Linked DNA regions of Drosophila melanogaster. The gene in region 1 interacts genetically with each later gene. Each region holds a gene or a part of one and is shown on either strand. Other genes may lie near its edges.

What was found. A genetic interaction does not mean that the proteins touch.
Region 2: of bs (region 1) and mys, changing one enhances a phenotype caused by changing the other (phenotypic enhancement), as found in Drosophila melanogaster (4 studies listed by BioGRID).

The regions. Positions count from the first base shown.
Region 1 is NT_033778.4:24,340,611-24,345,998, forward strand, and holds the start of bs (blistered), read left to right. Parts: upstream 1-2,250; 5' UTR 2,251-3,479; coding exon 3,480-4,064; intron 4,065-5,388. UniProt on the Drosophila melanogaster protein: Required for the formation of intervein tissue of the wing. Acts in a dosage-dependent manner to suppress wing vein formation and promote development of intervein cells. Might play a role in the proper formation and maintenance of the trachea.
Region 2 is NC_004354.4:8,060,084-8,065,036, forward strand, and holds the start of mys (myospheroid), read left to right. Parts: upstream 1-1,561; 5' UTR 1,562-1,642; exon of another isoform or gene 1,643-1,997; intron 1,998-3,756; 5' UTR 3,757-3,874; coding exon 3,875-4,376; intron 4,377-4,449; coding exon 4,450-4,678; intron 4,679-4,953. UniProt on the Drosophila melanogaster protein: Integrin alpha-PS1/beta-PS is a receptor for laminin. Integrin alpha-PS2/beta-PS is a receptor for Tig, wb and Ten-m. Contributes to endodermal integrity and adhesion between the midgut epithelium and the surrounding visceral muscle.

The DNA.
Region 1 (5,388 bases):
ATCCGAATCTCGTGCTTTACTTGAAATCCTAACACAATATTTCGCAGATACTTTCCCGCATGACCATACTGAAAAAGACAAAAAAAAAGGAAATTTACATATTTCGACTATTTAAAACACTTTGGCTTTGGCTTAAGGCAAATGCCCAAGTAGCGCTATAAATAGTAAAAAAGTCTATATATATAAATATACACATATGTGGCTATGGCTATGGCTAGCTGCAAAATCAAAAGTTGTTCGGAATCGTAAATGGAACAAACGCTCCTCTCGAGTTATAAATATATTTGGGAATATACCTATGCCATCCGTATGCCTAGATGATCTGTCCACCGTTTTGAAGGTGAACTCTGCAGGATTACATAATGCGGACTCTGAGCAGCAGCATCAGGAGCAGCCCCCTAATTCCCCTCGTCCCCTCTCAAATAAATGCACGTAAAACGGCAAGCAAATAATTAAGTATTAGAAATGTTCAGCTGGGGAGAATTCCGCGGAAAGTGCGATGGCAAAAACTACAGCATGTTGCAGTTGTTCCCAGCTGGCCAGAAGCCTCCAAGAGAAGCCAAGAGTTCTCCTCCAGACAGGCTGACGATTGCCTAGAAAGACAGCCGCACTGGAGCCAGCGGACTCCTACTGCCGGTGGAGGAGAAAACGGCGGAGAAAGAGGGCCTGGATGGCTGCAGACGCTGAAGAGCCCAGCCTGCAGCCAACTAACCAATTAGTAAGCGCTGCACAGAACGCGTCTACAATTGTGAGAACCTCAGACCAGGCTTGCAGGCCAACAAGTCAACAAGCCAAGAAGCCAACAGCCAGCAGGCCGTGTGAGTATGATGAAATGTCAGCAGGACCAGAAGCTGCATCGAAATGCACTCGGAGAAATACTTAGCAAACAACTAAAACCAAATTACACAATAAAAAAGTGTCACAGAGCTAGAGATGCATATGTCATATGACCCATCTGTAAACCTAATCCATATAAAATACGGAATTATTAGGAATGCGTGGGGATCATCAAACTTCATCTTTATTTATTGTTCTTTCTTTTCGCAGTCTTGGGGAAATGGGAATACAAGTGGAAGGCATCATTCAGATTCAAGTGACCCAAGTGGCATCCGTTTTCCCGTAGTGTCCAGAAGACCTGGTGCCCGCTGCGTGGATCGATCCTTATATGATCCGCTGGCAGCGGCAAACGTTCTATTTTGACAGTCATTATGATTAATTTAAATCATTAGGCAGCCCGGGCAGGTAGACAAACCATCGAGCTCCTATATTCCATCTAATTAAATGCGAGAGGAGCGGAGCTGCAGTTGGCTGTGGTCCTGGTCCTGGTGCTTGATCGGAGTCGACCTCGGAGTCGGAGTCGTGGAGCTGGACACGGGACCTGGACTGGCTTATTCGCGGAAGAGACAAGCTGGCGACAACGACACCGATGGCTGGAAAAGGCAACGATGACCATTTGCAGCTGGGGAATGCATCATCTTCGATCGCGGATCGGGGCGCAGTGAGTGTATCGATTTATCTGCGCTTACTATATACATATCTGCTGCTATCTGCTAGTCGCTGCACGTGGCCATGCCCACTCCGCCCCTTTGCCCATTCCGCGAACCTCTATTTAAGGACATGGCGAAATACTCGTGCTCCTGTGTACAAGTGGGCCCACCACGCAAATCCTCTAGAGCATTCTGACCATATTGGCGGGGCTAAGAAATTCCTGGCATAGTTTAAGTGTATCGCTTTTTGTTGCTGCGCCCGGGCACTCAAGATGCCCGCAAAGCTCAGCCTGCGAAATGTCGCAAAAGAAATTACAAAATCAGCAATAAGAAAATCAGAAAATCACAAAATCAGAAGATCACAAATTAACTAAATTAACAGCGCTGATAAGGCGAAACGCCACGTATGTAATTACCGAACTCAACCACGAGTTTTCAAGGGGAGGAGCCAATGAGCCACCCAGCCATATGAATCCCAAATCCACGATCTATGTGTGCGCATGCGCAGCGAATGGGTATGCATATGGGGGCGTGGCCATCTAATTAATTAAGCCATAAAGCCAGCAAAATGAACGACGGCAGCAGGAAGACGCCGAACGGGGGTGGGGATTGGGTCGGGGAATGGGGGATTGGGGTTTGTTTTTATGTACTCCGTACTCTTCGCGTTCGAAATCGAAGAGAGCGCGGCGCTCTTAGGAAAAGAGGAAACCGGTTCGCCCAAGTTTGGAATATCGAGCGAACATCGTTGGTGGAAATACGCTGAAGTTTATTAGGTATTTGCACGCCATCTGAAGAACAACGAACGCCAGCTATCGATCGCAAGTTTAGCCCGTCGAATCGTTTCGAATTCGTATTTGGAATGAACCACAATAAAATCGCCACAAATAAAGTAAACAGTCCAAACAAGTGCCTAGCGACAAATAAGCAAACCAACTGCAACGCATACGGAACAAACAAAAACACAAATATTTCCCATAACTGCACTAAATCTACGAAGTCGAAACAAAGTTAGGCGTATTTTTTTTACCAGAAACACTTAAACAATTTTTACAAAAAACGGATATTAATGCAATCAGTTCGAGACAAGCAGACAGCAAGCGGAAGACTTAAGGAGATAACAACTTATAGAGGCCATAATCAAAGGAATAAAGCACCATCAGCCAGCGATGAGAAGGAACGTCTTCAATGATAAACCTTCGAAAACTTTTAGAAAATAGCAAACATCCCAATAAACCACAACAATTATAAAACGCGAGAAAGGATTTGGTAAATCATCTAAAACCAGTTCAACAAACAACACATATAGTAAACATTAAATATTAAATCACAAGTTTTAGAAGGCAAACAAAGATAAAAACTCTTAACACCAGTTAAATAAAATATACTAAAAGAACTGCAACCAAAAAATAACATACAATTAAATGAAATTAAAAGCCATAAAGAAACTTAAAGCCATTGGAAACAAGCCATAAAAGCGGTCCAGAACCTAAATATTAAACACAAACCAAAATTCAAATTCCGCGCCAAACGACCACACTGCGCAACACACGAGCGCTGCATCCCTGGACTTCAGCCGCATTCCAACACTGCAGGACTGTCAGCTGTCAGTTTTCCTGTGTGTGTGCGCGCGTAAGTGTGTGCGTGCACTTAAGAAACTTAAATTCGCGTTCTTGGCCAAAAAAAACCCGGGTTTTTAATAAGTTATAGCGTTTTCCTCGACTGAGAACTTGGCCCCCAGGCAGACGGGCACAAAAACCGCCCCAGAAACGCGCCCGCCGCCGCCAAAAAGGCCGAAAACGCCAGCGAAACGCGCGCGTTGAGTGTTTTCTGTGTGGTTTTATTTTTGGAATATAAAGCGATCTGATCTGAAAAGTGTGCCGCGGCCGGATTCTAGATATTCAGATTCCCAGCACCCGAAACCCAAACGCAATAATAGACGCGCGCGGTGCCTTGGATCTCTACGGCTCCACGGTGGAGAACTTTTACCTCAGAATGGATCCGACGCGAGGTGACTCGCGGTACAATCTCAACTACTCGATGAGTAGCATAGGGCTGAGCCTGGCGGATCCGGCGGACATGTACGGCAACCCGGCCCTGGGGGCGGGCCGCCCGCCCTCCGGTGGCCTGCTCCAGAACATGGGCGGCGTTCCGCCGATGCAGCGCCCCAATCCCGCGGCAGGAGCACCCCCTGCCCCGCAGTGCCAAACGCTCCACAGCCCACAGCACGCCTCCCAGCAGCAGCAGCAGCAACAACAGCAGCAGCAGCAACACCAGCAGCAGCAACAACAGCAGCAGCAGCATCCCCAGCAGCAACGCGGCCTTAAGCGCTCCGGCAGCGACTGCTACGAGGATCACCACCGCTCGTCCGGCGGACTCACCCTCCAAGGACTGGACAACGTGGCCAGCGGAGCCGTCGACGACAGCGTAGACAACTACAACCCGCTGCCCAACAAGAAGTCTCCGCCTGCCAACGGCAAAAAGACAAAGGGACGTGTCAAAATCAAAATGGAATACATCGACAATAAGCTGCGTCGCTACACGACCTTCTCCAAGCGCAAGACGGGCATAATGAAGAAGGTAAGATCGCTGGAGCACCCCTACGCCATCCCCATCCCCAACGATATTTTCAACCCAACCCCGAAACCGAAATCGATCCCCATCCCAATCCCCATTCCAGCCACGATTGGCGCTGCAATTGGGATGTTGACATCGGGCCACGTTTCCAGCGCATGTGCAATTAATAAATGCTTCAGGGATTCAGTTGCGACGGAATCCAGCAGTTCCCCCACATCTCTGGCATTGTTCTGCCTCCGGAAAGAGCGAGGATTTATTGTCAATTGGCCATCGGCACAGTGGTCGGGATAGCTGGCGCACAATAGGAGAACCATCTCGGAATATCAAGTACCCAATGGATATATCCAACAGTTAGACCATTTGTGTACATTACTCGTCAGTTCAAATATTCAAATCTTTCTCTTGTGTCCATTACCAATTATTAGTTCCACTTGGAAGTATGTTTATTGGACCAATACAAATTCTGCTTGGAAATTGCTTATAGGCCACCTTATGTTGGGATCCCAAACCTAATGCTAAACAATTTGATTTAAGACTCAAAAACCCGAACCACTGTGCCCGCGAAGTACCTCTGCTCATCTCTAGAACAGTAGCCGCAGATCCTCTGCTTTTGGCCAGATCGCGTCTGTTTGGCCAACTGTTGGCCGCTTTGGCGGCGTTGTGTAAGCGCGGTAGCCCACGATTCCGCGTTGCCTTTGTTTTCGGCTTCATAAAATGTTAATTTGCCGCCGCAATTGCATTCAAAGGAGGCTCCTGCCCACGGAGCACTCCTCCCCCGAAACAATTGATGCGTGCTCCTTGTGGATGGTGGCCCACAAGTCGCTGCAACTGGCAACGTTGCCTTGGCATTTTCAAATGACCAATTTTCACACGCAAACTTACATAATGCCACTGCATTAGCTCCTGCTGCTTTCCATCGATCTGGGGGCCGTATATGAAATTTTTCACATTTCTGAAATAGACTTCCCTGGCCACTAGCTGAACCAAGCCCCGATCAAAATCAGACAAAAAGCATCAACATCGCGGCGCTAAATCACGATCTCAGCACGATCTTTGCCCAAGACACAAAATCTTATGAAATATTTGACCCAAGCAGACCAAAAACAAAGACGTTGGAGCACTTAAATTTAAAAGGGGAGATTTGGGAAAACGTTTAGCTTGTTGTACGCTAGAATGGCAATAAAATGTCAAGTATAAACTAAATGTTTAATAAGTTTAATTTATTTACTGAAGTTTATTTACTTTCATTATTAAGTCGCAAAGTAACTTATGATTCTTGAATTAGAGGAAGTGAGCAACCCAAACCTGTTAAACTGTTCCTCTTTAC
Region 2 (4,953 bases), on another chromosome or scaffold:
TGTTGCTATTGTTGCTGAATTTTGAATTGAACATATACAACATACAGATTGTACACGATTGTTAAAAAGTTGCAACTGTAAAAATAAAAACAAAAAATATTGGTCACATCGGGCACTATTTTTTTTCTCGAGATTTTTGGATTTGCGCGCGCCAGAGAATGAGTGTGGCGTAAAGAGAGGGAGAAAGAGTAAAATCCCCAGCGACAAATGTAACGTAACCCACAACGTAAGCGTCTTCTGTACGTCACCACGCTACGTAGGCCACGTAACGGTATGCTAACGTTACCGACGGCGCCGCAAAACCGCAAAATCAAAAAATACAATAACAAAATCGACAAAATTATAGATTTTCAATGTGCACGTCGGTTTCTTTTTGCTAGCGAAAATCAACTAGCGCTAGTATATTTTGCTTTTGTTTTTTCTCATTTCGAGTGAAACTTTTCGCGCGCTTCTGCGTGTGTATTCCTCTTTTTTCGTTTTTTCTTCTTTTATTTGTTAATATTATTCACTTGGTGACTACACACGTTCATGCTCATGCCCCCTCACTCGACACACACACGCACACACACTGACGAACGTTTCTGCTTCTTGCTCCTCTTTCGTTCGCTTTTGTTCCACCACCGAAAAAAATGAAAAAAAAAATTTGTCATGTCCATTGAAGTCTCACATTTTTCAAATGCATTTTTTGGCGCTAAAATCTTATAAATTTCAACATTTTTCCATTCGCATCTGATCCCCCGCAATTAGCACTCCACTTCGAACACAAATTTATATAATTTTTGCCATTTTTTACCACAATTTTTAGTAATTTCTACACACCGATATATACGTACGCGCTACGATTTTTCGACAAACGCGCGAGTTTCTTCTGAGTCGCCATCAAATATACAAAATTTTTTTTCGAAATTACTGAAAATGCGAATACACACGCACACATGGACAGCCGACGGGCACGAGGCGCACGCGCTTGGTACATGCGGCTATGCCGCTCTAACGCACTGCTTTTATTGATAAATCGAGAGCGGGACAGCTAGAGCTACCGGCCGAGAGAGAGCATGTGAGAAGAGCGTTCTGTGCGAGTGTGTGTGATAGAGAGAGCCAGAGAGCAAAGTAGTCACACATACTCTCGCAAACTCATAGTGGCTTTCGTTCTCTCCTTTTCTCAACCATTTGCACGTACTTTTAGCTTTTTCATATGGCTATTTGGGAAATTCACCAGCAGTTTACACTTATGCTGTTGTTAGTTTTAATCCATTTATACTGGTAGAACGTAGATTCGTCGGCTACTTTACATTAATTTCGTAACGTAAGCGCAACAAAAACAAGGCTGTCATCGATATAAGCAGGCGTTTTTGTCTGAAACTATCGTGCAATAAGTGACTCCGATAACCAGAGTTCCTTTACGTGTTTCTCGATTACTTATCGGATTGTGTTTGCGAGCACAAATGTCTCTTTTAGCGGAGACACAGTCCTCCAAAACTGTGCAACACTGTTCCTAGGCTCGGTGTGACCAGAGCTATTTAACAACACTGGCGAACATCGGATGGCAAATATCGAAAGAACATTGACTGTTGTTCCACCCCCTGCTGACACCATCTGGTAACACTGAACAACAGACCAGATCCGCGGACAAAGCAAAGCAGTAAATATTAATTTAATCCAAATCCAATTCCCGACACCAATTGGCGGCCTTCAGCTGCTGCTTCTGCAGTCGAATTGTATTTTTTTTTTTGGTTTTTCGTGTCACCCGATAAGAGTTAAATTCGCTGATCTAGCGAATAACGGTGGCAAGTAATTGTAATAACTGCGTGTGTGCACAGTGCTAGTGTTTAGTGTGCGAGTGTGTGCGTGTGAGTGGGAACTCCACAAGTGTGCGAGAAGGCAAATCAAAATAAGAAAAGTGCCGCCCTGATGGAAATTAATATCGCGAATTATCAGCGAAAACGCAGCGAAAGTTAAGCCAAAGTGCTGCGATTAATCAGATAGCGGGTGAAATAGTGGGTATTACGTAAGAAATCAATGGATTCCGGGCTGCATTTGCCCAAAAAAAGAGGAAGCAATATCGAAGCGCTACTTTTATCTCCTCTTTTTTCGATGATTTCATTCGCAGTGACGACACACAGGCACGCACACACCGAACGCCGTATCTGTGTGTGGGTTGTTTGTTGAGCTAAAAAAAATAATGAATCCTCACGATACATTCACTCGTTTCATTTTTTTTGTTATTATTATTCATCATATTTATTTATTTCTTTGAGTGTGCATATCGGCGACTTCGCGACGCCAATTGCTGATTACGCCCCCTCCCTTTTCAGTGCAACTTCCCCACCCCGGAGATCTTGCACTCGAACTAAAAATCGAGTAGAGTACGTAGGCAGAAGCGAAAAGAGCGTACAAAAATCAAGAGCTCAGTGGCAGCAGCAGGAATTTGTGTTTGTCAGGGGATTGCCCAGATTTTCGGGGTAATTGTCCACTTTATAAACAGCCAACCGAATTTGAAACCAACTGTAACTGGAAGTAAAAACCAATTTTACCAAAGCTATCAAAAAAAAAACAATAAAAAAAATGAAATCCTCTGCGCGCCGCTGGTTTAACCAGTACGCCCACATGTGGGCGGCCCAGATGTGCCTCGTTTTTGGCCCAATGGCTGTGGGCGTCCATCCGTGGTTGAAACTATGCGCTGCAGATGCTGTTTACTCAGGCGGTTTATAGTATTACGAATTTGCTAGCTAAAAAACTGATTAAAACTACTACTAAGTGCACAACTCATAACTTTGATATGCTGTGACTGGGTGTATAAATGATAATCGAATGAAATTATTCAATCCAAGGGTATATAAACATGGGCTTAGTCGTTTTTAGTTTGTTTTCCTTTCGGCACACGATCTGCTGCAAATCAAGCTCTGTGGTGTGTTAGTGTTCGTTGTGTTGTGTGTGCGTGGGCGTTTAAAAATAGCCGACCAACACAACACCCATACGTATACGTAATCTGCAGCCCTTTTTTTTCCGTTCCGTGCATATGGAATTTTGATTTGAGTCTTGAGTGGCTTGGAGTGAGTGATTCATGTGGCTTTAGGCGGAAAGGAAACCCAGCGAAGCTGACTCAATGACCACTCATTGTTCGTTCGGCCTTTGTTTACATTTTGCCAGGAGCCAAGAGAGCGAGAGAGCGTGCTAACGGAACGTGCTCGAATGAGTAATTCGCATTGCATTTGACGTTTATCGAAAGCTCTCTTCCTTCCGCTTTTTTCCTTTTCTTTTCGGAGGCCAACAAAAAAAAACAACAAAAGCACGCAGGCACGCACACCCACACACAAGTTCGTACATCAATCGCTTGGTGTGTGTGTGTGTTTGTGAGATGAGTCATCTGGCCAAGTTGATGAGAAAATAAAATTAAACATTAAGGTAGAGCGAAAGAAACAACAAAAAAAGGGGACAGATGTGCGGCCATTTGCTGTTGTTTGTTGTTGCAATAAAGAAAAAAGCAGGGCACGCGGAGAAAGCAGTGCTCGACAAGCAGTGCAGTCAGCAGCTGGACTTTTACGTACACCGGCGTTCGTAAAAATTGCAGCGAAATCGAAGAAATCAAATTGTGTCTTAAAAATAAATGAAAGATTAAGGCATATAAAAAAAAATAATATAAAATATGTAGCATTAGAAATATAAGTGAACCAGGAATGGCTTTTATAATAATTTCTGCCCCTTACTTAACATCTAGTGCTAAATCCAACAATTTTAATTCACTTACCATTGCAGCCGGCGCACAGAAGCGACAGAGACAGAGCACACACAGCACCTGGCACATCCAAGGATATCCGATCCTCCTGCATCCCGAATCATCCACAACCTGCACCAACCGCTAACCGCCAAAGCCATGATCCTCGAGAGAAACCGGAGGTGCCAGCTGGCCCTCCTCATGATCGCAATACTGGCCGCCATCGCTGGACAAACGGATGCCCAGAAGGCGGCCAAACTGACGGCAGTGAGCACATGTGCATCGAAGGAAAAGTGTCACACCTGCATCCAGACAGAGGGTTGCGCCTGGTGCATGCAGCCGGACTTTAAGGGCCAGTCGCGGTGCTACCAAAACACCAGCTCACTGTGTCCGGAGGAGTTCGCCTACAGTCCGATAACAGTTGAGCAGATTCTAGTGAACAACAAACTAACGAATCAATACAAAGCTGAACTGGCGGCTGGTGGCGGCGGCTCCGCCATGTCCGGCAGCAGCTCAAGCTCCTACTCGTCGAGTTCGAGCTCGTCGAGCTTCTACTCGCAGAGCTCCTCGGGATCCAGTTCCGCCAGCGGATACGAAGAGTACTCTGCCGGCGAAATTGTCCAAATCCAACCGCAGTCCATGCGACTCGCATTGCGCGTCAGTGAGTAGCAAACGATTGCATCATCCATGTGACCTACAAACTAATCCCTTACTTGCTTATCAATACACCTTAGATGAGAAACACAACATCAAGATTAGCTATTCCCAGGCGGAGGGATATCCGGTGGATCTCTACTACTTGATGGATCTCTCCAAATCTATGGAGGACGACAAGGCCAAATTGTCTACGCTGGGCGACAAGTTGTCCGAGACCATGAAACGCATCACCAACAATTTCCATCTTGGTTTCGGTTCGTTTGTGGACAAGGTGCTCATGCCCTATGTCTCGACCATTCCCAAAAAGTGAGTATGACCTACATAAATGTGAAGGAAAACCATGAATTGGAAATAGTTCTACAAATTTTGCTGATTGAAGATGATGCCAGATGCCGTCAGTTGATGGTGCATTTCTTTAAGGCCTATTAAATTATTGTATTTATATATTATATTATACAGCGTATTTGACTTGTTAAAATTATGATTTGTCTATTGTAGCGTACAATAGCCCCTCTAGTCATGACAATGTGCTTATGATTCAAATAGCGAATCAAATTAAGTTTATTTTTAAGTGATGCTAC